Oryzias latipes: one gene and its partner. The protein of the gene in region 2 purifies or fractionates together with the protein of the main gene of each other region. This does not show direct contact. Links are inferred from orthologs where the notes say so. Each region holds a gene or a part of one and is shown on either strand. Other genes may lie near its edges.

What was found.
Region 1: the proteins of mak (region 2) and kiaa0556 purify together in Homo sapiens (affinity purification with mass spectrometry; 3 studies listed by BioGRID and IntAct, with this or other methods). This does not show direct contact. The link is inferred for Oryzias latipes from reciprocal best matches to the Homo sapiens genes MAK and KATNIP.

The regions. Positions count from the first base shown.
Region 1 is NC_019877.2:9,503,141-9,518,936, reverse strand, and holds the end of kiaa0556 (protein KIAA0556 homolog), read left to right. Parts: intron 1-101; coding exon 102-265; intron 266-630; coding exon 631-743; intron 744-837; coding exon 838-939; intron 940-1,092; coding exon 1,093-1,245; intron 1,246-1,399; coding exon 1,400-1,640; intron 1,641-1,743; coding exon 1,744-1,875; intron 1,876-1,985; coding exon 1,986-2,137; intron 2,138-2,321; coding exon 2,322-2,428; intron 2,429-2,563; coding exon 2,564-2,660; intron 2,661-2,742; coding exon 2,743-2,952; intron 2,953-3,174; coding exon 3,175-3,312; intron 3,313-3,978; coding exon 3,979-4,828; intron 4,829-5,199; coding exon 5,200-5,988; intron 5,989-6,067; coding exon 6,068-6,276; intron 6,277-6,457; coding exon 6,458-6,536; intron 6,537-7,015; coding exon 7,016-7,193; intron 7,194-7,263; coding exon 7,264-7,429; intron 7,430-7,557; coding exon 7,558-7,724; intron 7,725-7,810; coding exon 7,811-7,875; intron 7,876-9,060; coding exon 9,061-9,171; and 14 more. Other genes in the region: cytochrome c oxidase subunit 6B1, read right to left, coding at 12,035-12,088, 12,576-12,676, 12,803-12,908. UniProt on the Homo sapiens protein: May influence the stability of microtubules (MT), possibly through interaction with the MT-severing katanin complex.
Region 2 is NC_019878.2:13,140,662-13,157,172, forward strand, and holds the start of mak (serine/threonine-protein kinase MAK), read right to left. Parts: upstream 7,808-16,511; 5' UTR 7,714-7,807; intron 7,685-7,713; exon of another isoform or gene 7,575-7,684; intron 7,561-7,574; exon of another isoform or gene 6,541-7,560; intron 5,092-6,540; 5' UTR 4,958-5,091; coding exon 4,854-4,957; intron 3,868-4,853; coding exon 3,813-3,867; intron 1,407-3,812; coding exon 1,285-1,406; intron 895-1,284; coding exon of another isoform or gene 815-894; intron 418-814; coding exon 335-417; intron 1-334. Other genes in the region: PI-PLC X domain-containing protein 2, read left to right, coding at 7,942-8,044, 8,241-8,377, 8,465-8,584, 8,916-8,969, 9,047-9,202, 10,265-10,375, 10,569-10,699, 12,132-12,291. UniProt on the Homo sapiens protein: Essential for the regulation of ciliary length and required for the long-term survival of photoreceptors. Phosphorylates FZR1 in a cell cycle-dependent manner. Plays a role in the transcriptional coactivation of AR.

The DNA of each region.
Region 1 (15,796 bases), on a different chromosome or scaffold from region 2:
TTTAAATGGCTTATTATCTATTAAAATATTTGACTTAAACCCTGTGATTTTTTATTTTACTTCTTCTTTTTAGGTACTGAACAGTTTTCTTTGGTTTTCAGAATCTTAAAGCGCCTCAGAGTAAAAGGCCCCAAAGAGATCGAGTTGGAACGTCTTGAGCAAGGATTTTCAATATATCTTAACGGAGCCAATGCTGAATGTAACAAAAGGCAGCCCAAAAGCCCCCCAAAAAAGCCTGACTCCTCTCTGCATGCACATGCGGCTGGTATGCTGTGTTTAAAAAAATCAATTTCATATCAAACATCCTCTTTTTTTAACTTATGGATGACATTTTAAAGGCTTGTTAGCTACAATTGAATCAAGCTGCATAGTTCTGTCATATGAAACAAATTCAATGCAGCAATTAAAGACCACCTCTTCCTCAGCTTGTGGTTTGCATGCTCTGCTTCTGTGCTCAGTCATTGTGAGTAAATGGAAGTGACAATTATAGCTTGCAGCAATTATTTATTTGCCTGCTTTTTTTTGTCATTTTGCATGTGCTGTGCACCATCTGCATGTGTCTTTCTCCCCTGAGGCAGCAGTCTGCTGTATGCTGCTCATGCTCCTTTCTGTGCTCTGACTCATCTGCAGATGTGTGTAGAAGCGCCCACCAGCTAGCCGGAGCTAGCCGCTTTCCAGATCAGACAAACGGTAAGAGGAGCCAAACCGCCCCAGAAAAGGTTCAGAGGAAAGAATGGGTGCAGGTACAGCCCTCTAATATTACATTCTATGATTTAACAAAGAAAAAAAAAACCAATATGTTTTTTATTTACATAATCTCCCCTTTCCTGTCTTAAGAATTCAGTTGAAATACAAACAGAGGATGGCCCAACTTTGAAATTAACCCCAGAGACGCGCTACTCTGATGATTTTGATCCCTATGAAAGTGTAGACATGGAGGTAGGGTGACGATTTCCACTAAGACGGCGTGTGTGGGTGTTTTAGGGAAGGCATTGTGTGTAAGATGTAGCTGTCTCAACCACTCAGCATCTCTCTATCTTCTCTTGTTTTTCCCATTTTTTTTTTTCTTCTGACGACTGTGATTCTGCACAGAGCTCTAGTCCTCTCTCAAGTCCTCGCTCCCCTCATAGTCCCTGCTGCCAGAGGGACCCCTGCAAGGTTTCACGCTCCAAGCCCGAGAGCCAGGGAGGCCAAGCAAGCCAGGAGCATGCTGAGAAGGTGCTCCTGAACCTTGAGGAAGTGAAGGTAAACGGAATATTACACACAAATATGTGGGGAATTTTCTTATCACATAGGAAATGTAGATATAAGTCATCACAAATTATAACATTGTCAATGTCTGCATATTTGCGTGACTGATGACTCCAGGAATTGAAGCGTTTTTGCCTGTCTGAACTAGGTTTTGCGTCGGAACCTGGAGGTTAGCATGCGACGGAGCAGCAGCGTTTCAGCGGGGGAGGAGTCAGATGAGGAGTGGGTAGAGGAGCAGATTGAGAGAGAGGACAGCACAGAGAGTCTGGATGAGCTTGGGCTCCCCCTTTCCTCCTCCAAGTCCTCCTCTAACTCGGAACCAAGCCGGACTCAGAATCACTTTGACTCAACGAATCTCATCGTTTTGGATTTTGGACCTTCCCCAAAAGGTCCGGCTGGAAACCTGTTTCTTTATTTGCTCTTTTAATAGCAGCTTTTGAACTCAAGTTTAAATTGAATCTTTGATTGAATGGCCTCTGTTTGTAATTACAGGTCATAAAATTGAACATTCTCTTTCTGCAAAAAGGAAAGAAAGCGTTGACACCTTTATACCAGTCAAACCTGTGTTGGTGAAGAGCAAAACTTTAGATAGGCCACCTTCACAAGATGGCTGGGACGGTCAGAGTAAGTTGTACATTTGACTTTTTTTTTTAAATCTAAAGAAAGTTTTCTTTGAACCAGTTTAATGTATTGCCATAAAGAAATAGCTTTTAAAAAATCTGTCTCTCGTTGAGGGCCAAGAAGTCAATTGGAGAGATCCCTGTCAGCCACTAGAAAGGCTTCAGTTGAAGAGCGAGACTCAGAGGAAACGCGGTACATGGTGTGCCAGGCAATACAGAAAGAAAACGCTTCAATCCAGAACGCTGAGCTCTTCAGTCACGGCATGGTCTGTTTGACCCCCCTATATTTAATTTGCCTTTCCTAAAGATTGTACATTTACTGTGACACCATGATGCCGTTCTTCTGTATCCAGTTTTACTCTGTGTTTGCTTTTGTTTTCAGTTTGGGCTTGATTTTAAGCGTCTATGTGCTAACCTCTTTTGCTGTCTATTTGTTACCGTTTCATCCAGACTCGGGGACACCAGATGATGGATGGCTTGAAGCCCGACATCAAACACGACAAAGATGAAAACAATGTCACAGTGGCAATGCAACGCATAACGCTCATGGCTCCCAGGTAAGACAGCAGTTCAGTAAAAATGTTGTAGGTGTCAACTCAGTTACTTTAAATAATGATTGTTGCTGCTCCAGGGCTCAGCCATCACCCAGCTGACAAAACTAACAAGCTCACAGTGTCAAACATTTTGTTTAGGCAACAACAGACGCTGTTAAAAGCCCTGGAGAAGCTCGAAGCCGGACCTAGCCACAATATTTCTCACAATGTTAGAACAGATCACAGCAAGCAGACTGTGAGTCAGCAACACGTCTCGCAGATCAGAGTGAATAATCCTGATGATGCCTCGTTACACCAACTGTGGTTTGGTGTTGCAGAGAGGGCAGTCGCCAGCAGAGGTCACCCCTGCGTTGTACGTTACCATGGAGATCCTGTCAAACTGGGGAAACTTGCTCCAGGTGGGGCTGACCGAGGTGCAGTTTTTCTGCCGCAGAAACAAGAAGATCTACGTTTCCCCTCATGACCTAGATGTCAGGAATGCCGACTTCCCAGGGAACCTGGGTGCCCTCGTCAACGGAAAAATGAAGGTGGACATTGTTCCGCATAAAATTAAATAGTTGCTCATTCTACAAGCTTGCTAGTTACACTGGTTCTCCCCAAATTGGGGTTAAATCTCTGCTTACTTCCTGTTAAAAATAGGAGGATGATGATGATAGGATGATTGAACAAACTTATGCTTTTCAACCTGACTACAAATACATTGCTTGTTAACAGTACCTTACTCCTTTCTTATTGTCGTTTTTGGACAGACCACTAAAGAGCGCTACATGTGGACGTGCCCTTTCCACCCTCCAATCCAGCTTTATTTCATCATCAGAAACATGGAGCGCTCTCTGGATTTTGGAATATCTTGTATCAAAATCTGGAATTACAACAGAAGCCTCAAAGTATGTGCTTTGTAACCAGTTTGGGGGTTTACTCTGAATTATTTTCTAAATCTAATGTCAAATGAATATTTATGGTGTCTTTATCGAGTGCGAGTTTTGTTTTCAGCAGGCTCCACTAGCTTTCGTGTGGTTGTTGTTGTTGGGGTGACTGACGGTTACGTGAGAGAAGTGCCCGTCTTCAAGCTGTGGTTGGCTGAGCCGACAGTCACTCCATCCAAATGTGGAACACTGAGAGATTAGCCAGAGGATTAGTGCGGATTGGGCTTCTGTCTTTGAGCAGTTTCTGCTCATAAAGGGGGTACAAAACCTTCATTATAATATTTTGTAGCTTCACTAATGTCCCCTCTAGTTATACCTGTTTGTGATTTAATATCATCGAGGTCTTAAGCTTGTGAGGTAAGTAAATTCAGACAGGGCAGATTTATTTTGTAATAGCACCACTTATTGCTAGCCTAGTACGTTTGATAGGATATGTAGTAATAATAAAGGGTTCTTGAAATGCCTTACAGTTTTCTATCAATACTGAAACTTTCAAGTTTTCCTCTTTATGTTTTAGGCTTTGTGGAGATGATTTGCTTCATTTTGACCTGTTTCTAATACATTTGTAGGTGTTAAGCATTTCTTTAAGTTCAAAACGCAGATCAGTCAAGGTTGTGTATGTTTCAGGACCTCGACATAGGAGCACGCCATGTAAAGCTTTACCTGAACAGCACCCTGGTGTTTGAAGGTGAGCTGGAGAAGGGCTGCGGCAGTCAAGTCTTTGACTACAGCACCACAATCAACCTTCAAGATTCCCAGATCCCAGAGTCGTCCTTCTCCACCCCTGTGTGTTCTGGGCACAATTTGAGAGGAGCAACTCCCCATCACTATGACGACAAGAAGGGGGCAGAGAGCGGCAGAATGCAGCGATACAGAAGTTCAGTAGCATCGTCAGATGCACCAAGCCAAATTTTGGTAGACATGCAAGAAAAAGCCCACACCCCTCTGCTGCCCCTCATCCCATCAGCCACTTCTTCTTGGCGTTCCTCCACACAGAAGAACTCTTTTGACCTTGCTTCATTGGAAGAGTCTCATTGTCTTAGGCAGCAGGTAGAGCAGCTGCTTCCTCTTGACCAGACGGTCACCACTCAGCCATCCTCCTCAAGGGTTGCCTCCCAGTGGCTGCAGCCTCTAAGCAGAGGTGCCCCAGAGGGCTCTGAAACCAGCAGGGAGAAGCCTCTGTGGCTGGTACCTCAGCACTCTGGCGAATCCAAACCACCAGCAGCCTCATCGTCTTCAATGCTACCAGAGCTGCCTTGTAACCCGGGCCGAGTGTGCCGGGGAGTAGACAGGACAGCAAACGGGGGTCAGAAAAAGACTGGTTCTTTGGACTTGAGTGCGAACCTGCTGGAGGAGTTTTTGGAGCCAAAGGCAGAAAGACCCGTCAGTGGACGCAGAAGCTCCTTCAGAAGTCCTTCAGTAGTTGGAGTGCAGGCAGAAGAGCAGCATCAGAGGGCTGCTGCCGGGACAAACACAGGTGTGTGGGGTTTTCTCCTTCCATTTGCATTTTTTCTGTTTTTCTCATAAATACCAACTAACCTAGCTGCTCACAAAGTAAAACACTCTTAAATACATTTTTAAAATAATGAATTTTAAATAAACCTTTATTGGTCTAAAGTTTAGAATTATTCATCAAGCCTTTTCAGCTTTACTTTATTAATCTTGTATTTTGACGTGAATTACAGACTTTTCGGACTGTGGATTAGGACCGTTTGACAGACTTAATGCAGTTGTTTATTTTTAGTATTTTTGTTTGTTTTATGTTCATAAGCAAATGCTCTGGTTGAGCATAAACAGAAATAAACACTTTAGGGTTTGCATTTAGTTTGATTTGTGTCTATATCGCAGAGTCTGGTATTTATGCCTTAGAAGATCCGATGTCTCTGGTGAACCCGGACAGGAGACAGAGCAGCTCCCGGGCCCAGCTGCACAGCCATCAGGATGACACCCTCAGGGAGTCCTGGGATTCTCTCATAAAGTTTAACCAGTGTCAGCGAGGACGAATCTCCAACATGAGCTTTGAAGGTGACATCCTCGATGAATTCCTTCAGTATAAGAGACTGGATACCCCCACAGTCCAGAATAACCTTTCTACAGCTCCCAGAAGCCCGCTGACTTCCCTGACCTCTCAGGGTCTAACATCTGAAGTGTCTGAAGATGATCCATCTGTGGAGCGAGAAGACGAATTTGAGATCCCTGTGCTCCCACAAGGACAAAAGTTGGTTATAAACATTCTGTCCACATGGGGAGATCGCCATTATGTAGGTCTCAATGGCATTGAAGTGTTTAGCTCTTCTGGGAAGCCCCTTCGCCCTGTACATATCCACGCTAACCCCCCAGACATCAACATTCTGCCCGCGTACGGCAAGGATCCACGGGTGGTCACCAACTTAATCGACGGTGTTAATCGCACCCAGGACGACATGCACCTTTGGTTAGCGCCCTTTACCCCTGGTCGCAATCACAGCATCTTCATGGACTTTGGAGGCGTGTGTCAGATTGCTATGATTCGTATCTGGAACTACAACAAGTCCCGCATTCACTCATTCCGCGGTGTGAGAGAAGTGGAGATGCTGCTAGATGGAAGATGCATCTTCAGAGAAGAAATCGCCAAGGCATCCGGAACGCTCTGCGGAGGTATCTGAGCAGAAGGCTTCATAAAATGTACACTTGTGTCACTTTAGTGCAACCTTCCCTCATTCTGGTGTCACTTTAGAATTGGATCAGTTTGGAGACACCATCCTGTTCACCACTGATGATGAGATCTTGGAAGCCATGTCTCGTTATGATGAAACCTTCCTCGGTGAATTTGAGGGTCATCAGAGTTTGGCATCTGAGGAGGAGCTGCAGAGGCCGCGCACCGCTGATGGCGAAGGAGAAGAGAGGCCGTTCACACAGGCTGGCTTCAGAGAGGAAGACCTCTGTGTAAGAAGAGTTCACCAATGACTTGATTTTATAACTTGGAAACAAATAATTTTTGTATATTTAAAGATTCATGAAAGCTAAAGGATTTCAACATGGACAAAGAATTGCACATTTGAACATTTAAAAAAAGAAGAAAACACTAATATTAGAAGCTTAATTATGTGAACTTTTGTTCTTTTAGTTAAAACATCCACTGAAGTTACCCTTAAGCAATTATGAGGAGAACGTGGAGCATATTCCTGGGATGTACACTGGAAAGTGTGAGTCAACTGATCTTTCTCTTAAAGACCCACTCTGAAGAAAATTACGGTATGTTTTTGGTGTTTTTGATGACTGAGGAGACTTATAAAGAAAATTCAGCTTAAAATGCATTTCTGAGGGTTTCTTTATCTGGATTGTTGTGAATCAAAAACAGACAAAAAAAAATTCTGGTTTGAAAAAAAGCTTATTTGTGACAGAAAATACGCTGGGCAGGCCACAAGATCCCTGCTCTGAGATCTCAGCAACAGGAAGGGAGGGCGGGGTTCTTCAGTGCCAGCAGTCCCACCCATAATTCAATGGCGAATTTCTGAATAAATCTTGTGGCTCTGCAGAAACTATATCCTAGAAAACAACCGTTTTTTTAACAATTTTATTTTGGTTAAAATGGAATAATCATAAAAGACCACTGTGAACGCTTTGAACTGTTTTGCATCACTGTTTTTGTTGTCAATAAAATGTGTTTCTTTTGTCCTTTTAGGCCTTAGAGTAGAGTTGGTGATGACATGGGGAGACTCCCATTATGTGGGCCTCACAGGCCTGGAAATAGTGGGGAAAAGTGGTGACAGTTTACCTTTAGATCTTGGCATGATGGCTGCCTCCCCGAGGGACCTCAACGACCTAGAGGAGTATGAAAATGACCTGCGAACCCTTGATAAGTATGTCTGACCGAGTCCAAATGTACAGTACTGAAGGGACTAGTCTTTAAAAACCCGTTTTGTTCTTCAGGCTAATTGACGGCCACAACGTCACCACAGACGACGAGCACATGTGGCTGATTCCTTTCTCCTATGGAGAGCCCCACATTTTGAGCATCACCTTCACCAAACCCCAGGTTATAGCTGGCCTCCGGATCTGGAACTACAACAAGTCTCCTGAGGATTCATACAGAGGGGTAAGCTATCACTCAAATGTCCAAATTCAAACACAAGCTTGGTTAGCACGCATAGTTCTTCTGTTTTAGAGGGAATAAACGAATGCAGCTCTTTGTCATCAAGTAAGTGTAAAAATCTCTGTGTTCAGGTGAAAGTCGTCCATTTGTTTTTGGACGATGTTGCGATCTCTCCCGTGGAAGGATTCCTCATCAGGAAAGGACCCGGCAACTGTCACTTTGATTTTGCCCAGGAGATCCTCTTTATCAACTTCCTTCAGACGCCAACAGATAATAAGAAGAACAAAGAATCTCACAGGTATGAGGTAGAAGATCCACACAAACCTCTCTTTTAAACCAAACCGGAGAAGATTTTATTAAATATGTTTAATGTTTATACTTTAGAGTAAGTTCCAAGAAGCAGGAACTGGCCAGCATGGATTATGAAGCTCCCATCATGCCTTGTGGATGTATCCTTTTTTACACTAATTTAGCATTTTGGTTTAGATAGTTTTACTTTCATACCATCTACTTTCTATTCAGCTTCTATTTCTGTAAAAATAGAAATGGAAAAAAACCATAAAGGTATTCTGATATACCTTATAACCAGCAAAGGCAAGGCTAGATTTAGTTTTCCTCTTCAAAATTTAGAAAGGTTGTCACAGAGGTTAGCAAACTTAAACCTAAACAACTAAAGTTTGATCAAATACTGGCACATAAGTTTTAAGGAAGGAAAAGTTTTCTAAAGAAGAAGACATTTGATGTGAAGAAAATTACTTACATCTACAGTTTTATACAAAGAAGTTGTTTTACTTTTTCTTTCTTTTTTTTGTTCATTTTTCCTCATTGACTGAGTTTGTCTATTCGTGTTTAGTTGTTTCAGTTATACCGTAATTTCCGGACCATAGAGCGCACCTAATTATATGCCGCACCCATTACATTGTTAAAGGATAAACCATTTTGTACATACTTGAGCCGCACCTGTCTATAAGCCCCATGTGCCCACATTGAAACATGTGTTGTAGAGTGAGGATGTGTATGTGCTGAAACCGCGCGTGTGTGTAAGAAAGAGGAGGGAGCACATGCAGCGCAAGGATGGTGGATTTTTTCACACTGCTTTTAACTTTAAAGCTGCGTCATATGCATTTCTTCTTGCATTTTCCATAATAAGGGTCTGTCCGTGCTATTCATTCACAGAGCAGGAATTTACATTAAACTTGTGTCTTCCTCGACACATATACCGCAATCCCCCTGTCTCACTCTTACCCTTTCTGATCGAGCGCCCCTAGTGGTCATTAGAAAAAATGCATTAAAAAAAAAAGAAAGAAAGAAAAAAAATGCATAAATTAGCCGCATCATTGAATAAGCCGCAGGGTTGAAAGCGTGTGACAAAAGTAGCGGCTTATCATCTGGAAATTACGGTAATTAACTCTTTCTGGGTCAAGTGATCTCTTTATGCTAGACGAGTGAGTTTGGAACAGTTCTTAGAACTTAAAAACATAAGAAAATAGACCTTTTTTTCTAGACTTTTCAATAGAGTTATCTTAACATCCACCACTTTTGCAGCACTTAGAGAAAATGCTGCAAAATGCTGCAAAAAGAAGAAAGAGGTTTGATTTTTTTCTTTCTGTTCATTCTTTAACATCACCTATCAGTCATATTTCAGCTGCAGCTTTTAACCACCTGGGGAGATCCCTACTACATTGGTCTGAACGGCCTGGAGTTTTATGACCAGAACCACGAGAAGATCAACCTCTCTGAAAACAGTATCCTTTTGTTGGAGCCATTTAGACTTATGGTTACACCTCTTGCATTTGTGATGTGCCACTCAAACTCTGCGTGGTCACAGGATTCTTTCAAACCGGCTGTCAGTTGGGGCTTATGCCAGCATTTTGGAATTATTCATGGTTCATTGTTCTCCATCGCTCCTCAACATTTTGTCCACCAGACATCGCAGCATTTCCAGACAGTGTGAATGTGTTGGACAACATCAGCGGTGATGTAAGGACTCCTGAAAAATTAATAGATGGAGTCAACAACACACACGACGGCAGACATATGTGGTTAGCGCCCGTGTTGCCAGGATTGGTGAGCAAGAAGATTTATTTTTTATTTTTTTATCCTGGTTTGCATTTACGCAGAGTTTTAACATGTTTGTGATGCAGGTGAACCGTGTCTACATTATCTTCGATCAGCCCGTAACCGTTTCCATGATCAAGCTGTGGAACTATTCAAAGACACCTCAGAGAGGAGTTAAAGAGTTTGGGGTAAGCTTTTTGGTGACATTTGAAATTCTTTGTTTGCATTTGGATTTCAAACCCCATGACCGTCTGTGCATAGCTACTAGTGGACGACCTCTTGGTCTATAATGGCATCTTGGAATGCGTAAGCCCCCGAGCACAGGGAATCCTGCCCACCTGTGATCCAGTGGTCCCGTACCACACCATCTTATTCACAGACGATACTTACATCGCTCATCGCGAGAGAAACACGGTCATCAGGTACGCCAGCTTTTTCCCTCACCAATTACCTCTTTTTTTCAGATCTGCTTAAAACTAGCCCATATGAAAAAGAAAGTGTAAAAAAGAGCTGTCAAGCTCCAATAATTCAGTAGTTTTGAACAACTATTCTTCACTTCAGCCTTCGTGGCAGCAGACACCACCGACAGTGAGTAACAGAGCTCAGAAAGTTCCATGTTAGCACCTCCCTGTGGTCAATCCCTGTAAAGATCCCACGTCCTCAGATTCCCCCTACAGTTCCACTCCCTCCTTTCCACGTGTCCGATTTGTGCTCGTTCCTCTTCTCCCCCGTGTATTTTATTTTAGAGCTTCAAGTGTCTATATCTATGTTGTGCAGGGAAAAACAACAAAAACATTGACCTGAAAATGCCCGCCATGTTCTTGTTCTTGCTGCGCAGTAATCACGTGGAGGACCAGGACGTGAAGATGACCAACGAGAATCAGATTGTTCATCACAGCAAGAAAAAGCAAACGGCAGATCCAGGTGATTTAGCAGAACGACTGCTTTTGTATACAACTGTATAAAACTCTGGTTTTACATGTCAACATCAAAACCTGTGTGGTCTTCTTCGCCTCAGCTCTCCGGCCTAAAACCTGCATGACCGATGGTGGAAAACATGGAAAGAGGAGGTACTAACTGACGAGTCAACACAGAAAAAGGCAGAATTACTTTAAAAAGCGGGGCCTTTGGCAGTGAAACAACCAGCAGCCACCTTACCAGGTCTCATAATGGCAACATAAGTGGACGGAGCATGGACACTCACAGGGACTCCACTTTATTTTTGGATTTCTTCTATCTTTTGCTTTCAAAAGACTCACAGGTTTTACCCTGACCACGTACTGTATCATACCTGTTATCCCCTTCCCACAGTGCCAGGAGAACACAAGATGCTGTGTTTTACCAGCCCTTTAATTGTGCCTAAACTCAACACTACATGTGGCTGCTTTGTGTGAATCTTATTCTGCTACACTAATGCTGCTTCTGACATAATGCTCAAAGATCTGATAAATATATTCACGTCAGGATGTTGGTAATTGTGTTTTGTATCCACCTAAGAGCTGAGCGCATCCTCATATATTCTAAATAATAAAAAGCCAGATGTAAAGCTATGCAGCCACCCATTTCTATCCATAAATGATTTCAAAATCGAGATGTTGGAAACTTACATTTATACAAATAATTATGATAAATAATAGGTACATCATTTAGTGCGTTCAACTTATAAGAAAAACTAAAGTTATGCAAACATTTGTCCGATTGAGACCATAGTTGACCAAAAAAATTAGAAAAATTAGAAATTACACATTTTTTCTAAGTAAAAAAGTACTGCAATCCTTTATCAAAGATGCGGTTTTGTGGATTTTTGGAGGCAAACATAGATGCAGAGCTTTACAATGATTTAAAAAAAAAAGTATATGAAATGGATAGCAAGCAGCATCTGTTATGCAAATACTGTTCGATTACCTCAAGATGAAAAGTATGCCGTTTAAAAGGGAAATATATATTCCACTTAGTGCTTAGATCGTATTGTACCTTTCTTTAGTCAATATTTAAAGACGTTGCATGGAAGTGTCCTCAATAATAGTTCAGTTTGAAGAAGTTTGTACTGTTTGTTAAACCCCAGTACCAACGACTTTTGCACTCTGTACTCCTGAGAGTAACTGTACATGAAATGCAGTTGTATGTATTTAATTTCAGAACAGCAGCGATGCCCATTACTGTGTATGTCAGTTCTGCTGTTTGGAACAGTTGATTTTGATTTGAATATTTATTTTTCTAATCTTATAAGTGTATTTGATGTTAGTTTATTGAAATGAATAAACTTTGAAAATTATTTATCTTCTTTATTCTTGAAAAAAACATTTATTTGATGTAGCTGATCAAGGTATAAGTATATATATATATATATAAAGTATCTTACCAGATTGGGACTAATGTGTGATAAAGGAGAGGAAAATACCCAACACTTTCAAATATGTATCCTGAGTTTTTAATGTCGAATCGACCGTACATTTCTCTGTTTTTATAAGAAATGAACATTCAGTACTAGTGTGCTCCTGAGGCACAGCAGGACAAACATTTAGCTGAAGAGGTTTGACCAGGGCAGCTTTAGATTTTTCCTGGAAATGTCCCCTCCTCTCGCTGGTCGTCCCATTTCTGGACCTACAGGGACAAAGTTTTTAGAGATGGTCAATGCTTCTGGATAATACAAAGTGAGAATAAACCAAAAAAAAGCTCTGATTTTTACACAATATTCCATGTTCCTGATCTGAAATGACAATCCACACTGACAGATTGTGTGGCCGAGTCCATTCTATTAAATGTGCTTCCTTTGGTATTAGAAAAAAAGGATAAGCTCTACTAATGTTTACATCATTTTTAAAGATTTGTTCTGCAGTGAGAACTTAAGGAGGTTAAACTCCACCACAGTAAATAAGGAAATCTGAAGTCTGTTTCTCTCCATTCCTGGATTCTATTAAAACTTTCAGGAATGGAAGGAATGACAACTTGTTCCCATGCTAAATAAAATGATTGTTTTATATTTAGCAGAGGCTTTTTATATTCTGCTTCTTGTATGCTTGAGCTCGTTTGTTACGGTTTTTTTCCACTAGGACTTGTAAAAACGCTGGGAATTATGGGGTATATTTACCCAGGACATGGGGCACAGAGATTTGTAGACCCTCTTGTACCATTCACAGGGGGCTGTGTCTATTCCTTTGGCGTCCAGGGCTTTCTGACAGCGGTAGTAATCTATCAACAGAACCCATTTATTTAAATCAATCAAATATGCAGAAACATAATCTTGACAGGTTATGTTTTCACATCCTAACAGGTCAGTATATCTGTTTTTAGAATATATACATGATGCAATCATACCCACGTAGTTGGACCAGCAGTTCCTGGTCTGGTTCTGGTTGGGAAATCTAGCGTCAAAGGGAGCAGTGCGGTATTTCTCCAGCTTGTCTTGGATGTCTTCAGCCATTTTTATTCTGTCGAGAAATTAGGAAGAAAAAAAAATGTTAGTTTTTTTCCTTATCAGATAAATTCCTGCATTATCTTGTAACCTTGACAGGAGAATATAGACTAAACGGTGGTTTCAAATTCAGATCCGGATGAGGTTTCTAAAAAAAAAAATAAAGTGAGCATCCGAAGCTCCATTCATTCATGTTTAGCCATCGCAACATCCTATTAATGCGGCAGCAGTCCTAACATTTCAAAACTTTTATTGGCCTACATTAACAACATTAAACAGAAAAAATGTATATGTTATGACCTTGGCAGTCTCTGACTGAGAGACTTTCGGGCCACACGGTCCTTTCTTTTTGACAGTCGCTTCCTTTTCCTTCAATAGAATAATTCAACCGGAGCTGTAGGCTACAGTCTTTAGATTCGGGTTGTTAATGTCTGACCTAACCCACAGATCACGACTCATTTCATTTAGAAAGGTTCGGTTTGTTCAGCTGAAGGCATGCAGGTAAACGTTACCTTTGAGCGGCTAGCTCGATCAGAAAGTGACTTTATACCGGAAGGTTAGATCGGTGACGTTCCTCCGAGAAACAATGCGCGATGATGCACGCGCGCGCTCCGGTGGGGATGTGCCACAGCTGCGACCGTGCAATTCTCTGATGTCGGTATGGCGGACTCAGGTCACATTGAAATGATGATCCCATAAAAACTCAGACCATATTAATCCAAAGTAATATTCAGTGTAACACCTTCATATGACTAGATTATAATATTTTGTTAAAGTAAACATTTAGTTTTGTTCCGACCACATCAGTTTGCTCTTATAAACAAACGCGGAAGTATTTTAATGTTTCGTTTCTGGCGTCAATCATTTACCGGTATTTGCTTTTTGTCTGTCAGGTGAAAATGTTGAGCTGTGGGCGTTTATCGATCGATTCTTTATTTCAATGTCTCCAAAAATAATTGGGGGAAAAATGTCATTTTAATGATTTATTGTAAAGTCGTGGAGTTAACTTTTTTAATTGAATGCACTTCTGAAATAGTGACGTAGTTCCATTCGTTTTCATTCGTATCAGATTTCATCAGAACATAATTTTCTATCTCAAAGGGGAGATTGTGATGGTTTTTTTTTCTGTTTTTACCTATTTTTTTGAAGTTGTTGCAGCTTTTCAAGCACGTGCGCGTTTAACGCGCCCGTCATACGTCACAAACTGCGTTGGTCCACGCCCCTCGCGCTCTGCACTCCAAGAGTTTTTTTATAATGTTTATTAATACATAAAACTCTCTTTTTTCAAGGTTTGCACAAATGTCCAACATTTAGGAAAGTCGACACGTTTCAGGGAGAAACATTAAACTAAAAGTCACCGCCATGTGAGACGTGACTCCAATGGGTTCCAGCCGCAAACTGCACTAACGTTTCGTACACCAGGGGGCGCCAAAACACTCGTTTTTCAACCCAGACTGGAATGGATCGTTCATGTCCAGGAGAGGAACAGTGAACGCATTTAAAAAAGGATGCTGAAGTTAAGAAGATGACAGGGGTTTATAGAGCAGGGTTGAATGGAGGTTGACCATTTGCTGTGGCAAACCCTAAAGTAGGTATCTGAAAGGAAAATAAGTACTAGATCCACATTTTACTACTCCATCATGCAACCCACCTAATTCAAATGGCTCTCATTGTTAGTTTTATGTGGAGCTTGATTGATTTTCCAAATCTGGAGCACTGAAATAGGGAAGTAAGTGCAACTTAAAAAATATATTTGCATTAGAACCCGCACTGGGAAGTATCTTAGACTGTCCCTTTGGGGACATTTATTTTTCCCTTAATGTCCTCCTCCAGATTATCTTTTAATTGATTTAACTGTACCTTTAATTATTGCACATGTGTAACACAACAAGCGACTTGATTAACAAAAAAGGGGTTGTGAGCATCAAAATAAAATTTGTGAAAATTTAAAAAATATAAGAGTCTTACTGGTATGGAGAGAAAATATTCTCATCAGATTTGTGTGTGCGTAATTCATGATTTGTAACTCATATAATAAATGTGTGTGTCTATGTACTTGCAAGAATTACTTTTTTACATGTCCAAAAAATACAATATAAATAAGCACGCACACCTTAAAATTATAACAGTTTAAAACGAACTACACACACAAATGTTTAAAAAAACGCACGAATCACCTGACACACAAAACTGCATTTATGCATCAATTTGAGTTTGAGACTCTTTACGTCTCCAAGATTCGTGTGGAAGTGATGCGTTTAAATGTTGCTAGAACACACAAACATGCAGAATCAAGTTACAAATCAAGAATTATGCGCACAAATCAGACGAGACTTTTGTATTTTCCTATTTGACTCAAAAAGGTTTACTATCCAACAACAAAAAAAGAGAGAATACATGAGATTAAACTTAAAATAAATTTTTTATTTGGAAAATCAGGTGAAATGTCAGTTTTACTTAAGGCAGATTTCACAGGATCAATAGATTTGAAGAAACAAAAATAAACATTTTTACTCATTTTTTCATACTCAAGTATGAAAAATGACCCCCCCCCCTCCAAAAAAACAGCTTAATATAACAGATAATATAAACTATTGTGATGCAAACTGCTTTTTCTCTGTCAAAACTGAAATGAGATTTTCAGGGAATGAGAATTACTTTAAAAAAACAAATGCTGAAATTAAGTAGTTTAGAATTGAAAAAGAAGGTAAAAATATTTTTTTGGGTGGAAAGTTTTAAGTTTAAACAAGAAACAAGGTTTTGAAGAGCCTTGAATGAAGACTAAAAAGTCATAATTCAGTTTCTCTAACTTAAATGGTTTTAACCCGGCAAGTTTTTGCACATGGGACCTTTAGGGGAAAAAAACAGCCATTACTCCGTAAGTATTGCCCTGCAAT
Region 2 (16,511 bases):
TTGATCAAACTCATTACAGAAAGGGTATAATGCATAGATAATAAAGTAATTATAACATATATACATTTCTTGTTATATAAATAGCTGTATATATTTTAAGTGTTAACCTATGGATCAATTTGCTAAAGTATGAGTGCAAACAAAACCCAATCAATGTGTAAAAAAAGTCATTATGAACATAAAGAAAAACTAGTGTGAACACATTTGCAACACAAACATATTAGCAATAAGTTGTACAGTGACAAGACCGATTCACACAAAACAAAGCCACTACACAGCGGTCTACATTGTACGTTTCAAAGAAGCAACAGAAAGAAAAAGATGCCATGCTTACCATGCTTATGCACAAAAGCCAACCCAGACAGCACTTGAAACAGGATGTTCCTAATTTCATTTTCCGAGAACATCTTATTTTCTCTAACAGCACAGCAGAGACATAAAGGAGGGAAGGAAAAAAGGAGAAATTTTGAGAGAGAAAAAGTTGCAGGAAAAGGGAAGCCCAGAATACACTGTGAATGTTATTTTAATTTCACATTAAAGTTATTTATTAATTCAACGGTTACATCACACTCATTCATCATGCAGAACAACCTAAATCAGTTGCAGAAAACACACAGCAAAGCAGCCACAGAGGGTTCACATACTACAAGAATTAGATGAAAGGTTCGATTAATATTGTGTTGGGTTCATTTATATAATCTCACCCTATGGTATGAAGAAATTCATGAACTTTGAAATGATAAAAATTCAGAATCTTGCAGGATGGAACCCCTGTGACACGCTTGCAAACAGGAGGAGGGTGCGGCATACCTACCATGTTTGTGAATAAATGACAGGCCTTGTAAAATCTGAAAGCTTATATTTCTTATCACTGACTCTGGAAACTTTTTTATTCTGTAAACATAAAACCAACATGCTTTTTTAAGTAGACAGTATTATTTTCTCTCTATTACACAACCAAAGGCTGTACCACCCTGGGTGCTTGGTGTAACTCTGTTGTTATCTCTAACAGCAAATCTCAGGTGTGTTTTGAATCGTTGCACACTTGTGGGAATCTAATCTAAAGTCAAAGTATTTTTCCACAGATGCAGCTAGGCAACAGCTGTTTACAAAATTTATTGAGAGAAGGAACTGCATGATGAGGTGACACAAATACTGGAATAAATATAAATATACTGGAAATCCCTGGATTCAACTTACAACTTTAGTGTTTAGCTGCTTTTTACTTCTGGTAGACAAATAATTTCCCAACCAAAATGTTTGCCCTGTAGATACTTTTCCTACCTGTCCTTCATCAGCTGATACAGGTTCTCCTTCATGTACTCGAAGACAAAGTAGAGGTGATCGTTCTCTCTGATAACCTCTTTTAGTTTCACCACGTTTGCATGGTTCAGCTTCTTCAGTGACTGTAGTGATGTTGTGGAAGATACAAAAGATTAAAAGAAAAAAAACAGTATTTAGTGCATCTAATTGACATCAGATTTAGTGTAATGTTACGTTCACACAGGCGTTGTCAGCGTGCGTTCAAGCGACTACTACCAATGTAAAGTCTATTTAAACTCGTGGGTTTTGGACTTCCGCGTTCAAAATTCAAACATTCATGCATCGCTACACAAGTCTTTAACCCTTGTGCTATCTTAGATGACCCCACCCTTACTTTGACGTGTTATTCCTACCATGACAAAGGTGGACAAGGTGGAAAGATTTCATGTAATCCATGGACACCAGTGAGGATCACAAATCATTGAAGAAAAAAGGTTCAGCGCACTGTCTAGTGCAGGGGTGTCAAACTCATTTTGGTTCGGAGGCGACATTCAACCCGTCTGATCTCAAGTGGGCCGGACCATTAGCGTAAAGGCAAAATAACAGCTTTATTCTTGTTTTTTTACCCAATTGGAAAACATGCCTCAACCAACATGGTAGCCTAATCATTTCTTATTACACATTCATTCACAGAGGCCAATAGATCTTAAATAAAATTAATTTCACTTTAAAAAATATTGCTTTATTGAATTTTAGACAGAATGAATATTTTAAATCTGACACTGAAGCAATCCTGATAATAAATTCAAGAGGGGCTACAGAAAAAAATGAAACATCTTCCTAAAATGTAAACGTCCAAACGATGACAAAATTACACTAAATTAAACTTGCAAAAATTTGTGAACATAAGAGTTTGGAGTTAACCTCCTTTCTCTCCTGAAACTTCACAAGACCGTCAATATCAGGATTGAAATCCTGTGCAGAAACACATTTACTGTCATTCAAGTGTGCAAAACACAATGAAATGTCCATTATTATTATCATTAATTATTATAAGAATCTTTTCCTGGTTTCTGCCTGAATTTTGTGGCAACACCTGCCTTCTTCCTGACCTTTGATGGGGCGCCATCAGTGACCAAAATTACTTCATGTGACCAGTTCACTTCAACATCGTCCAGCACACTAACTAGAGAGCTGACTACGTCATCAGTTGTTGTTGTGTCCATCAATTCAGGAAACTCCACTGTGACGTCTCTTCATCACCTCTAATAAATATGCACAGCTGTATACATCTGTGATATTGGTACTTTCATCAATAGTGACTGAAAATACAATAAATGACTGGATTCCTTCATATGGCTGCCCATGTTTCCTCAGAGATGTTGGATCTAAAGTGGTAATTCTTGACAGACTCATGTTTAAGGTCGACTGCTTTTTGGGAAGACTTCTGCAGCCTTCAGCTTTTTTCAATAAGTTCACCATCAGAAAATGGATTGGATGTTTGGTCCAACTTGTAAGGTAGCTAGGTGTCACTGCTCCATCACTGACATCACGGCTGCAGTAAATCCAGATGGTTATTTATCGGTCCAGCTAATAGTTGCTAAATCTTTTTTTTTCTTAACCGCAAATGGTGAAACTTTTCTTTGTGGTGAGTCTCATAGTGGTGCTGGATGTTATATTCTTGGAAAACCTGTTGATGACATACCAAGCATGCAGGTTTGCATTCAGCTCCGTGAACAAATAAAACGCTTTCCATTTTCCTGGAAAGCTCAGGACTTCACTTCAACCTTTTTTTTCTTTTTGACAAAATTTTGGTCATTAGGGTGTCACTACTGATCATCCTTCAGTGTTGAGGCTCACAGGGAATTCACAGAGTTATGTTGTTTCACCTGTTAAGCTTTTTCTTTTCTCCCCCTAGTGGTGGATTTGCGCATTTCGGTTATTTCTTTAAAAAATCATAACTCGCCACAGGAATTGACTAGAAACTTGCTTTCTTTTTTAAACATCCTTATGAATTTTACTCTTCATGTGTGGGCCGGGCTAAACCACCTGGCGGGCCGGAAACGGCCCATGGGCCGGATGTTTGACACCCCTGGTCTAGTGGGTCTAGATGACCCAACTCCCAATGGTAAAGTGCCTAGGATAGCACAAGGGTTACGTCCAATTTCAGGCTCTACGTGTTGAAATACGTTGAAAGTTAAACCAGTTTGACCAATCAGAGACTCGGATTTGGAAGTGAGGTGTGGGTAGCATTCTTTTCAATTCATGGAAGTTCCACTGGTTTGAAAATTGATCATGGGGGAGAAATTAATAAATAGGTTTGAACAGCTTCAAAATTTTGCACCAAGCCTCTTCTATGTGTAGGTACATGCACTAGTATCAGGGGTGAACACCAAGAACCCACGTTTAGCGCATCCTTTACTGTACAACACATGCCCGGTGTGAACGTAGCATAAGAAATGTCTATGATTTGGATAAAATCACAATTTCCATTTGACATACTTTACAAAAAATGCTGCTTGTTCAAGAGTAAAGATTTCCCTTCTTACCTTCACTTCTCTTAGGTTCATGCACTCATCCCATGAATAAAATTTCTTCTTCATCCTGGAAAAAGACAAGGAAAAAGAACAACTCTGGAAAAATGCAAGAATGCAACTGAAGAAGATGGTGACACAACCATCACTGTATCCAAGACACATCATAACACGGGAACTCTCTCAACAGCACTCCTTTGTTTGACTTAATTAATAATTGAGTTTTTTGGACCTGTTCAAATTTCTATTTCAACCAATTATGTTAAAAAAAGAAGAAGAAGAAAACCAAAAAGTCAAAGAAACTGTAGCATTTAGTTAAAAAGGCATGTAGATCAGCACATGTGTTGCCATGTTTGTGAACACAATACCAGCTGGCGTTCACTTCTCTTCCCCAGTCCACATTGTGTCTCCATCCCTCTGGAATTACGTAAGCGTTTTAGAATAGCACATATCCATTTCTCCTAGTTCCCTCCTCAATGCCAGCAACCTGAAACACCCTCCCCCCTCCACTTTCTCTGGCTTTTATCAAGACCGCACGTATTTTCTTGCACAGTAACCAAATGGTCAACAAGACACATCTCCCTGCTTTCTCATTTATTATTGACGCTTGAGACTGTGTCGCAGAAGCAAGGCAACGCAAACCGGTTTGGTTGCTTACTTATGCTGACAGGGAAACTGAATTTGTCAGACTATCTTGGTCCTATAGTCTTCTGGTTTTATAGGGCAGTTTAGATTGGAGGGAAAAGTTTTTAAAATACAGGAGCTACACAAAAATAGCAAAAGTGATTTTTTTTTTGCCGTTGTTTTGTTTAAATACTGTAAATGAGAGATGGCTAGTTTTATTCAACAAATCATTCGAAAAGTTTAAAATAAAAAATAAACGTCCTTTTTGTCAAAGTTTCGTTGATCAAAAATTTTCATGGTTTAACCTCATTGTAGAGCAACATCCTCACTGTCAAGTGGAATGATTTCCATTATTCTATCAGGATTTTACGTCTCAGGATTTTAAGAAAACCTTAAAAATGATTTGTTAATAACAGAAATGATCAGACCCACCTCTTAATGGCCACATATTCTCCAGATTCGTTGTTTCTCCCCATCAGCACACTCCCATAGGTGCCATCACCCAGCTGCTTCAGGGTGGTGTAGCGATTCATCATCTCTTTCAACAGCCGCCTAATGTTTTTTCATTGATCAGATCCGTCTTTCTCGTGCTCTTTTGCTCCTGAAACTTGAGTTTAAAACTCAACTTTTTAGCAAATCCATTTGACATGCAGGTCAGGGAGCGATGGAACTAAAAAAAAATTAAAAAAAGGTTAAATGTTACAAGCAGAATTCTGTAAAGTGAAGCCCCTCCTCTATACTGCCTTCAACATCTATGCAACAACTGAAAGGTTGGGCTGTTTGTTTCCTGCTCTTCACCAACTGAGGAGGATTAGGTACGTGCCACGTTAGTGTTTGCAGGAGGCTCCGACATGAGCACCCAAGGGAGATGACATGGCAAGCCTCAGGAAGATTAAGCCCAACAGAGATGCAAATAGGATGTTACATCACCAACATGCACCTTCCCCAGGCACCCTGCTCGTCAAGAGGATTTACCTGACGCCACGGGGCCACACCAATCAGACTGCTGTAATACCTCTCAGTCCAAAACACAATCTCCATCAGCTGCTTTGTTCAGGCATCATGAAAAACAACTGTTATTTGTGGATGGTAACTGTTTGCAATCCAAAGCAGCAATAGCCTTAGCTTTTATAAATATGACTAATCAGACCTCCTCATTAATTAAGTAGCTTCCGAGCACCTTTAAACACAAAGTTAATAATTTTCCATGGATGCATCACATCCGGATAAAAAGGCTGTTTTGGATCTCATGAATAGATTTTTACGTTAAAAAAAAAAAAAAACCAACAGAATAAGCAGTGACAGGGAGATGGCCAAGTAAGTGCACTACTAGATGGTTATTATTACAAAATGATTATACATTTGAATTGTTTAAGTCTCAAACAACAATAAAAAGCAACTGCATCCAGCCAAATAAAAAAGAAATAAGATTTATTTTTATTGACTATACACTGGAATCCCTTTCTGACACAAATATTAGATATGGCTCACATAACAGAGTAAAATTTAAAAAATGTCAAAACGTGTCACCTGTTGTTTCAATTGATTAGAAGAGAAAAGAATTGAATTTAATAAGTGAATGTCACCACAGAGCTCTATTAAAACAGTAAATAACACTAAAAATACACTAGTTACGATAATAATCATACTAATTTTGCACAAACAAATAGAATTTAAAACATCAAAGAAAACCAGGCAAATCCACTGGGCTGCTTCAAGAACGGGTCTGTAATCTGCTGGGGACGGATTTAAAAGGAATTAAGATCCACAACCCACATGACCTTAGGGAACTAATCAAGGTTAAAAATACACATGAAGCACAATGGAAAAATACAAACATGGCATTTTATTTTGTCCGGAGCAAAATAGGATCACTGAATCGTAATTGTTTACATTGCAAAACTTTTATTTACTGTATTAAGGAATTTGAACGGAGTATTCATAAATGATGTTCGTAGAATTAGAATTTAGGTAAGAAAAATAATAGTGATTATAGTAATATAATGATATTAATTACTCATAGATAGATAACGTTCATGTCAGGCTTGTGGCGTTGATCTTTCTACAGTAACGAGGCGGGGGTGTCCCCCCTTTATCTTATAGTCCCTGTCAAACTCACCAGCTAGAGGTGTCGCTCCCTCCCTCAGCCGTTGTCTGCCACAGGTGATAGCTGCTGATAAAGAGAAACTCGGACACAGTAGGGGCTCAGCTCTCACGATAAGACCACGGCGTGTGCGCTCCAATTCTCCATGGAAACGCACACAGCAAAGAGACGCCTGTTTTGGCCGTCGGACTCGAGGCGTAAGTCTCTCCCACGCAGCCGCAAAGCATCATGGGTCTTAAACTTAAACTCCGCGTAAATCGAAATCCGAATCTGTTCATGTTTGTAACGCTGGTTTTAACGTTTTCCCGAAACATGATAATGTGCAGACCAATAATAAAAGAAATACATAAAAATGCATCACGTAAAATCCCAGCTATAGGATCTATTTTTATTTGTTGTTTTGAGTCTGTTTCCATGTGAAACGACATTAAACCAAGTTTATGTGCTAGTACTAGATACATACTATTCTTTTTTTTCTTAAAGCTTTTAAAATATTCTAGAAAATGCAATTATTCAATATGCTCGTTTAAGCAGTAGCAATTAGCAACTTCAACCATTAGATGGCGCCACGTGGTCATACAATCAAACACTGTAAGTCTTGCCCTTAGTTTATATTTGTTCAACACTTTGTCTTAATCTATTACATTCACGTAAAAGAAGAAAAAATATTTAGTCTACCGCATTTGTTTTACCACATTTTATTAAACAGTGGAATAAAAGTCGTTGTTTTTACAAACTGCTAAAACTAAGGCAGTAAAAAGCCATCTAAGTTTATATGCGCCACACTTAACGGGATATATTTGGTGAATCCAAGTTCAAAGCCTCCTGGCATGTTTATTTATTTACTTATCTAACTGAATAAATTCATCGCATCGTGCTTTGACAAATTAACCCGTTTGGGCCTCATCATGGGTGTTGCTGTGCATCCCCTCACTGATAAGATGATCCATTTGAGCTGATTACTGCTTTATGCGCATCCATCCTGCCAAGCTGGAACTATGGAACATGCTGACTAAACAAAAATCGACTAAATCTTCCAGGTTTCTCACCTTGAGGAGGTTAAAAAAAAGTGTCCGCTTTTCCTGGGAAAGGTTGTAGGTTTCCCGCGGAGCAGGTTAAGTCCAGGAGCAGAAGAAGGGGGCGGGAGAGAAGGGTGTAACAAGTGGGAATTGACCATAAGAGGCTTACCGCGGTCGTTAACTCCTCTTTCTCTTTGGCCTTGTCAACGCTGCGCAGTTGCGGCCCAACCTGCGCGCCGGTTGCACACCGGTGATGGCGCTCGTTGCTGCTCTGGTTTGTAGAGAATAAACAAACTGGAACCTTCCATGATGAAAATGGATCGTGATCGCTTGTTTTACGGGATTTGGTTACCGGGCGTGCATCCGGGCCAGGAAGCGGGCTCCTGATGCTGCAGAGATGAGGACCAGACCTGCAGGAATCGGCAACGTCAATGCCGACTGGATGGGTTCTCTGCCATCCAGACTTAGTGCCATGCCCCTCAAATGCCTCGCGGTGCCAGGTGAGCAGCCAAACCGGAAACACTTTAAATAAAGTCAAATTATACATCTATGCCCAACTAATATCGATCAGTGGATTATAAATAAAGGGACTAACAGATTCATTGTGTTTCCAGTTTAATCTTTTGAGTGTCGTGAGAACAACGTGTCCTTTAGGTCAGATCTCTCACTCTCTCCTCCTCCTCCTCTTCCTTTCAGGATCTCATGACTCCTTCACGTTCTGGGTAGATGTGCACGCGCCTGTGGCTCCAGATCAGAAGGCCTATGTGAAGTATCTGGCCACTATGTTCAGCGTCTTGGCAAAGAAGGTTATGGTAAAGTGGTCAATGACACAGGTAGATGCCCCAAATAATCAGACTATAGATTTGGTCACTTGTGTATGGTCTCCATGAATTTAAGGATCGTCTCATTTCTGTTCTTAGAATCTGACATTCAGGGAGCAGCTCGATGCAGGAATCCGTTACTTTGATCTCAGAGTTTCCTCTAAACCAGGAGAACTGGGCAACGAGATCTATTTTATCCACGGCCTCTTTGGACACAAGGTGAATAGAGAACCTGACATCTGTGCTTCCAGAGATGACTCACGCTACAGGGATCAGAGTGAGGTCACCCCTTCTCTGAAATGGGTCCTCTGGAATTCCAACCTGCCTGTTTCTTATTTGACTCTTTTCCAAGGACTTGGCCATGAGAACGACTGCAAGCTGGAAATGCTTTTTAGAAAAATACTGATGTGATAATGACAGGATTTTGCACTAAACTGCTTTCACCTGTAATTTCAAGGTTGTAAAAAAAAAAGACACACTTTGATCTTGACATTTCAGCTCAGTTTTTATGTCAGCTGACCTCCAGCTTTTCTCCTGTCTGCTTCCAAAGGTGAGGGATGGCCTGTTAGAAATTAACACCTTCCTAACCAGACACAGGAAAGAGGTGATTATTGTTTGTAGGCAACATAAAAAGCTTTGCTGCTCAATTGCTTTTGTGCTAACAGTCCACTCCTGACTCAGGTGGTGTTTTTGGATTTTAATCATTACTATGCAATGGAGGCAGAGCATCACGTCCATCTCATTAGCATGCTGCAACAAGTGTTTGGCAGCAAGCTGTGCAAAAACTGTGCTGTGGAAAGCATCACTCTGGACTACATGTGGGAGAAGAAATACCAGGTGAGGTCTGCACTGAACATTTACAGGTGCAAATGTTCAGCCAAGGTTTGCTTCCCCACAATTGTAAACATACGCACACACACACACACACATATGATATATATATATTACACTTAAAAATAAAGTTGTTTTGTCTTTAAGCAGCTACAAACTTTGTTGCTAGTTAAATTTTATTGTGCCTATGAGAGTAATGTAGTTTCATAACCTGCATCTAATGTCTAGATAAGTTTAGGATTTAAATAGATTTAATTCATTTTTTCTCAAATTTCTATTTAAAACCAATTTCTAATAACCAGTGAAATAAACTGAACTAAAATCAATAAAAATATGAATTTTCACAATGAAAACTAACTAAAATAGTTTTTTGGGGGTTTGCAAAAGAAACCAAAAAGATTATGAATTTGGTTGACTGAGATTAAGCTGTCGCAATCCAGCTCTCACATTTGTTCTTAGACCCAACAAAATAGTGAATTAACTAATCTCTGCCACTTAAAGTCTTTCTGGGGAAGAATTTGCAGTGAGCATCATCCAATTAACACTTGTCACCTTTCCCTTTCCGACCTTTTAACCTTTCCTTCTTTACTAAACCCTTCTTTGATGTCACATTTACATTTTTGTCCATGCATTTCTTTTATGTTTGCACCCTGATATTTGAATGTTACATAGTGTGCTAGGTCTCAATAAGAACTGACACTAATTTCCTTTTCCCTTGACCCTAATCTGTGACTGGCTTACTTGGCAAAGGGGACAGAGAAAGTGCAGCAGTCAGGACAGGAAGGACAGGATAAAGACAAAGAGGAGGAGATTATACAAAGTGCCTGCAGAGGGCAGCCTTTCCTCTCACTCTTACACCAAAAAAGTCTATGTAAAGGCACCCTAAGATTTAATGCACACTAATAAAGATCAATTGTTTTTGTTTTTAAACATTGGTAACTGTGAGCAGAATAAAACACAAGTTACTAAACATTATTCAACCCTAAAAATACCCGTTTGGCCATCTGAACAAGCTATTTACAGTAATTCCAGCTTTCAGTGTAATTTGTTTCCTTTTTTCCCTTGCAGGTGATTGTATTCTACCATCATCCGTCAGCACAGAGTATCCCTGTCATGTGGCCTGGAAATAAAATTCCCGCTCCCTGGGCAAATACCACTGAGCCAAACAAGCTTATACAGGTACGAGAACGTCTCGAAGTCTTCTGTGCTTCTTTGCATTTGACAGATCCAACTAAAAGTTAGTGTTGCTTGTTTTCCCCACCCATGTAGATGTCTGCTTTTCCATCGAAATTATCTGTTATCTAGAATGACTTCAAGAAGGCTTAAGTTTCCCGGTGTTTCCTTCAAGAGCTTTTACTTTTCTCCTCTGCAGTTCCTTGAGATGACACTAAAGGAAAGAGCCAAACAGGGGTCCTTCCATGTTACCCAGGCTATCCTCACACCAACAGTCAACACTGTGGCTAAGGGTCTTGTGTGGGGACTGCGCAGTTACCTGGTGGAGAGGTCAGTGTGAATTTTTGGAATTTAAAAAAGCTCTTCCTTTTCATAAAAAATTGCTAAAACACACCGTTGCAAGTACTGTGTAGCCATGTGTCATTTTTTAAGATATTGTTAGCAAAATAAAAAAAAATCAGACAAGTTTGAGCATTTTGTGATCTGTATATTAGTTTGTTGAGTGTTTTGGAAGTTTTAAAAGTTAGTTTCTCTCTGTAGGGGGTAGTAAATGCTGCTGTTAGCACGTATAAGACAAAAAAAATGTATACCAGTAAATATCTGGATCAACGATCTGCAATCTCTAATGCTAAAAGAGCCATTTGGTCCAGTTTCCTACCGACCGAAACCCAGCGAGACGCACAAAGTCCCACTTCACCGTATATAAAAATACAATTCGTTTATATTTTTTTGGCCATGCATTCATAAAATGTAGAATAACATTTTATATTTTATATTAACAAACAAAAGTGCTATAATATTCTTTATACAACAATTTTAACTTCTTTTACCTTTGACGGCATCACATACAAGTTCCTTTCAAAATAAAATACACCTTGTGCCAAATAAGATCCTCCTTCTGCAGGAGATTGACGTCAAATCAAACATGGCTTTTCTATCCACCGTCATTCTTTTACCATCAAATATAAACATGATAAGAGTGGTATAGAATTCCAATTAAAAAAATCAGTATAAGCTTTAAGTAAACTCAAATAACAAACCACTCTAATGGTAGATTAAACCTTGTACGTTCATTTTAATCATTTATCTGACACAATAAAACTCGAAACGTAAAGGACAAAACTTTATTAACTAAAACAATATTTAATAATTGTTTATCAAATAGCTCATTTGGAATATATTTTTACCAAAAAACTTGGACTAGATAAACATCCTAATCCACACATCTTGTGTATTTAACAAAAAAGTAACACGTCGTCGATCTTTTCATAATTCTTTGAAGTCACTTTTATGATAATCCAGTTATGGAACCTAAAATTTAAATAGAAAACCAGCGCATCTCCCAACCCAAAGATTCACTTTCCGCATTTTCGGCTCAGAGAAAAGCAGACGCCAGAGCTGAGTTTGAAAAGGCCCAAACAGACACTCCAGAGAGACAGGAGGTGACCTAGTTCTGCACCTTGGAGGAAATGGGATTGTTTACCTCTCGTGGCTAAACATTTGAACTTCCTGCTTTTGTTCTGGTCTCGGTTGACATAGTGGATTATGGATAATGTTGAAGTGACACAGTGTTGGTGTCTGGGTGTTTGTGAGTGTGCAGACAAAAACTTTACAAGGCAGCTATGGAAAAGTTGTTCTCTCAGTGACAGACACTCCCTTGAACTATTTTTCCTCTCTCGGTTCCTTCGTTTACCCTCACAGCGTAGTGGATTTATAGTTTGGTAACACTTCTAAAACTAACTTTCCTCTTTTGTGGCTCCAGAAATCTGCCAACCATCATGTCCTGGATTGAAAGTCAGAAGCCAGGGGTGGATGGAGTCAACATCATCACCTCTGACTTTGTGGAACTCACTGACTTTGCCAACGTTGTCATCAAACTCAATAACCTGCTGCTGTCTGAAAAGAAGCTCAAACCAAGATGACCCATGTACTCTTTGTTGACACACATTTCATTGTGAAATTATAGTAACTATTATTTTTTTAATTTAATTTAGGATTTTTTAAATTGAATTAATCACATACAAAGCTTCTGTTAACTGATAGATACACTTAGATTTAAGTTCTTCTGAAATTAAAAAGCCTTTAAATCTTCCTGGAACTCGTTAGTTTTGGTTGTAGCTCCAGTGAACAGAGTTCTGAAGACTTAGAAGGAGCCATAGTTGAGATCAGAGAGTGGCAGGCGTGCCCAGCAGCACAGTTATAAATCCTCCTCATAAGGCTGACCAAATCCTGTCATGCTACAGCTCTGGCTGCTTTTTTGCATTCCATCTCCAACTGGAACCAAGTTACTGAAAAACATTATTTCATCTCAAGACAATTCAATTTCCAGCTGATGAAACGTTTGAATGAACACATTCTCAGAAAAGAAAAGCACACACTCACAGTCTCTTCTTGTGTGTTGTGTGTGCATTTATATCAATCAATAGCTACACTCAGCTACACTTCGTTTCCAAAATCAGGATTTATATGAAAAAAAGTGTTCACCATTCCATGATTATGGAGAAAAATCCATTTAGCCGTTTTCCTTGTGATTTTTGATTTAACAGTTTCTCAAAGCGAATTCTGTCTTACTAGTAACACTTATAGAAACTGCAGACTGTGGCATCTTCCCATAGTGGCATGTACTTTAAAAGGGAAACCCAAATATGTGTAAAAAAAATAATTGTGCCACAGGTTCATTTAAATATGCTAACATACAAATGCAGCTACACCTTTTGCTTGGATGCAGAAATAGAAATGTGTAATATGTTGGAAATGTGCAAAATATTGGAAAAAGGTGGTTGTGGGAGGTGGAAGATTCAATTTTTAATCTTGCATTTCAAGTTTGTACTAGGATCCGTGAAAGCAGAATACTTAATACAGATGATATTTTTTGTATTCTTGTGTATTTGTATGTGTGTGTGCCTTGCAGGCTCAGTGATTATGTATGATGGTAGCGCTGTGACAGTCGTCGTGCATTGTTGTGGGCAGATTAGGGAGAGGAACAATGCACAGACCGAAGGGAGAAAAAATGCTTGAGGGAAAAGACAGAAGAAACAAGCAACTTTAGGAACGATAAGGAAAAATTCAGTCAGAATACTTTAAAGGAAACTATTTGTGGAAAATCTCAGGAAGTTTATGAGATAAAATGTTAGACTTATGTAACATTTTTACCTACTCTGGCAACACTAAGCTCTATAATTACATAATCCATTGGGTGGTTAAAGTTTGTAGAGCACTTTTATTAAATCTCTTTATACCTGTATGTATTATTTCACATCACTGTAGTGTAGAAGCAAGTAGAGCAAACGTTAATTTTTTTTTCCGCATACAGCACACCAAACCGTCTGCTTATATCAGCTTGTACATTTTATTTTTTCTAGTGTTTCAATCAAAACTTGTCACATACAGTAATACCTGGCAGCTATTCAAAAAAGGCACTATGCACTCTTAATATCCGCAGGATTCTGGTCTTTTTCTTGACCAAGTCAAAGGGAAATACAATATTTTCTTTTAATAAAGGTTTTTCACAGTGACCCACCCTTTTGTGAATCCACTTCTAGCTTCACGTCTGACCTTTTGACACGTTTGGTCATCAAACACCTCGAGGTCCACAAGAAGACAAACAAAGGCACTTTAATTGTGGAGTAATTACACATACCATGGCGGGCAAGTGGGAGAGCAGCAGGCTGGACAGTGAGCATTCCTGCGATGTTGGGATCGAGCTTCTCCTTCTTTTCTTGTCTCTCACTTCACTGTATCCCGTTTGGCTTCCCTGGTTTAAAAGGAGGAAATGACTTGAACAGGAGTTTTTTAACTCAATAAAGACATAAAGCATTCAAACTTGTTTGTGTCATTTGCTTCAGTCAAGATTGAAATTCTTTCCATCCAAAGGGATGTTACGGCACTTCTCAGCAATCCTATTTTTTTTTTTTTTTTACTTTTTACTGTTGTTGGAAACAGCAGCAAAAGGTTTCTGACTTTCTCATACTGGACAGCATACTGTTTGTCATTCTTTCCAGTCACTCATTTCTTTTTCAACAGGTTTAACACTTCAGCTTTCTCCCCATGTGCAGTTCTTGGTGAAAGCAGTTAAAGGGAATGTTTTGACACATAAATCATCAGTAAACTTTATTCTGGCCAAAAATGGAGCATTTTGTGGGCATTTTGATTAGTGGAAAACACGAAAACTTTGTTTTCATGCCTTGTTAAGGTGAAAAAGTGTTCTATTAAAAATTATGCAGGTATTTAAAGTCATCGGTTTAACAAAGAACATATGAAAACACAATTTCTGTTGATTTTTCATTAGTATTTTCTCCCAGTGATGTCAGAACCAAGGATCAAAAAAGTCCTACACATGGGAATTTAGCGCTATCGTTCAAAAGATGATGACTCTGGTGCTTAAATGGCATTAAAAACTTGTGGCATGGCGTCTAATAACTGTCTTTACTGGGAATGAGTCAGTCTATTTGCCTTAGTTTGCAATAAGACACACTCAGTGTTGTCAGCCTCACTCAATCGTGTGTCATTAGAACAGTATTGAAAGCATGTGAACTCAATAGGTATACCCATTCTTTACAGCATTACAGCAAAGATGACACTGAGATCTGGGAGGGCATCAGGTGATCAAAAGTAATTACATTCATGGAGGTTTCACCCCATATTTTATAATTGGAAAATGTTCCGACACAGACTCCTTTGCGATATAGACCAGAAAATATTTTTCATTCAAACTTTATTAAAAAATCTCTTTTTGTCCCTAATGAGAGTAATCTTTTACAACAGGTTCTTCCAATAGAGAGGCCTCCAGAGCTCCTGCACAGCCTCCTGGGTTCACTTGGGAACTGTGGAATTCTTTTGGGAATGTTGTCGGACATTCTTCAGGCCTCTTAAACCCACATGCTCTCGAATGATGTCATTAGGAAAATTTAGCAGTTCTCATTGCTTGCAAGCACCCATGGAGACATAATAGTGCAACGGCTTCTGGAAACACTTGATATGAAAGTCAAAAGGAGCAGGCGGGCTCCAGCGTCTCTCTTTTTAGTCAGACTTTATTTCATCGCATCTCTAAAGCATAATTAAGCACTTATGAGCTGTTTGAATTCAAAAGCTGTTGGTGTTAGTAGTCTTAAATGTGTACATTGATGAATTGTAATCTGAACTAAAAAAAAGCTCTTTTTTTACCAAGGAACGCACTTACTGCCCTTTTCTCGTCATGTTAGGGAGCAGCTGAAACAGTGAAGCAGGGCTTGGGGCTGTTTACCCGTCAACGGATTTGCTCACTGCCTGAGAGATAAGATAAGATGCTTGAATGAAAAAGTTCATGTCTTTGTATGTTTGTGGTGTCTATTACTGCCAAAGCTTTCCTGACCTTAGTCTGACCAATGAATCAGTTCTAGGACTTTGTTTGCATGTATTAAATTCAAGAACACACATACACAAAAAGGGTTTAGGTTACATAACTTATCGATCTTCTGCTGTACATGTTGTTTGCATTTCAGTATACTGCAAACAATTCCAATTGAAAAATGCCCTTTAGTACAGCTTCGATGGCATTAATTCTTCCCTCATGGCACCTTCAGAATGATGCATGACTGAACATGTAAGAGATTTTTGCGATAGTGCACATATCTCATGGAGAGGGCTGCTGAGAACTCCCTGAGTGGAGGTTAAGAAAGATTTAAAAAAAAAGAAGTTACATGCATAGATCACTTTAAATGATTTATAGATTTTTGTGTAATTTGTGTCATCTTGCAACCCTCAAAACATCTATAGGACGTTTTAAAAAACAAAACTCAACCAGACCTTACTTTTTGTTTCAATAAAAAAATAGACAATGCAGCAAACATTGGAAATTAGAATGACCTTTTCTGCATTTGATAAACAAAATTGAAACAAATTTGTTCAAATCTGACTTTCATCTGGAGTTCTATTTAAAAAAAAACATCTTAAAAGTGCTTTAAAAAGTTATTTCTCTTCATAAGGAGATTTATATTAATGCTTGATGGCACTTCAGGCTGCCCCCATTAAACCCATTGCCTTTTACTCTGGATGCACACTATTATTGATGGGCACCTTTTTTACATCCTGATATAAATAATAATGTTGGAGTTCAAATTTTCCTTTGGGTAAGCTAATCCTTGTATGCTCCTCTCCTTTTCAG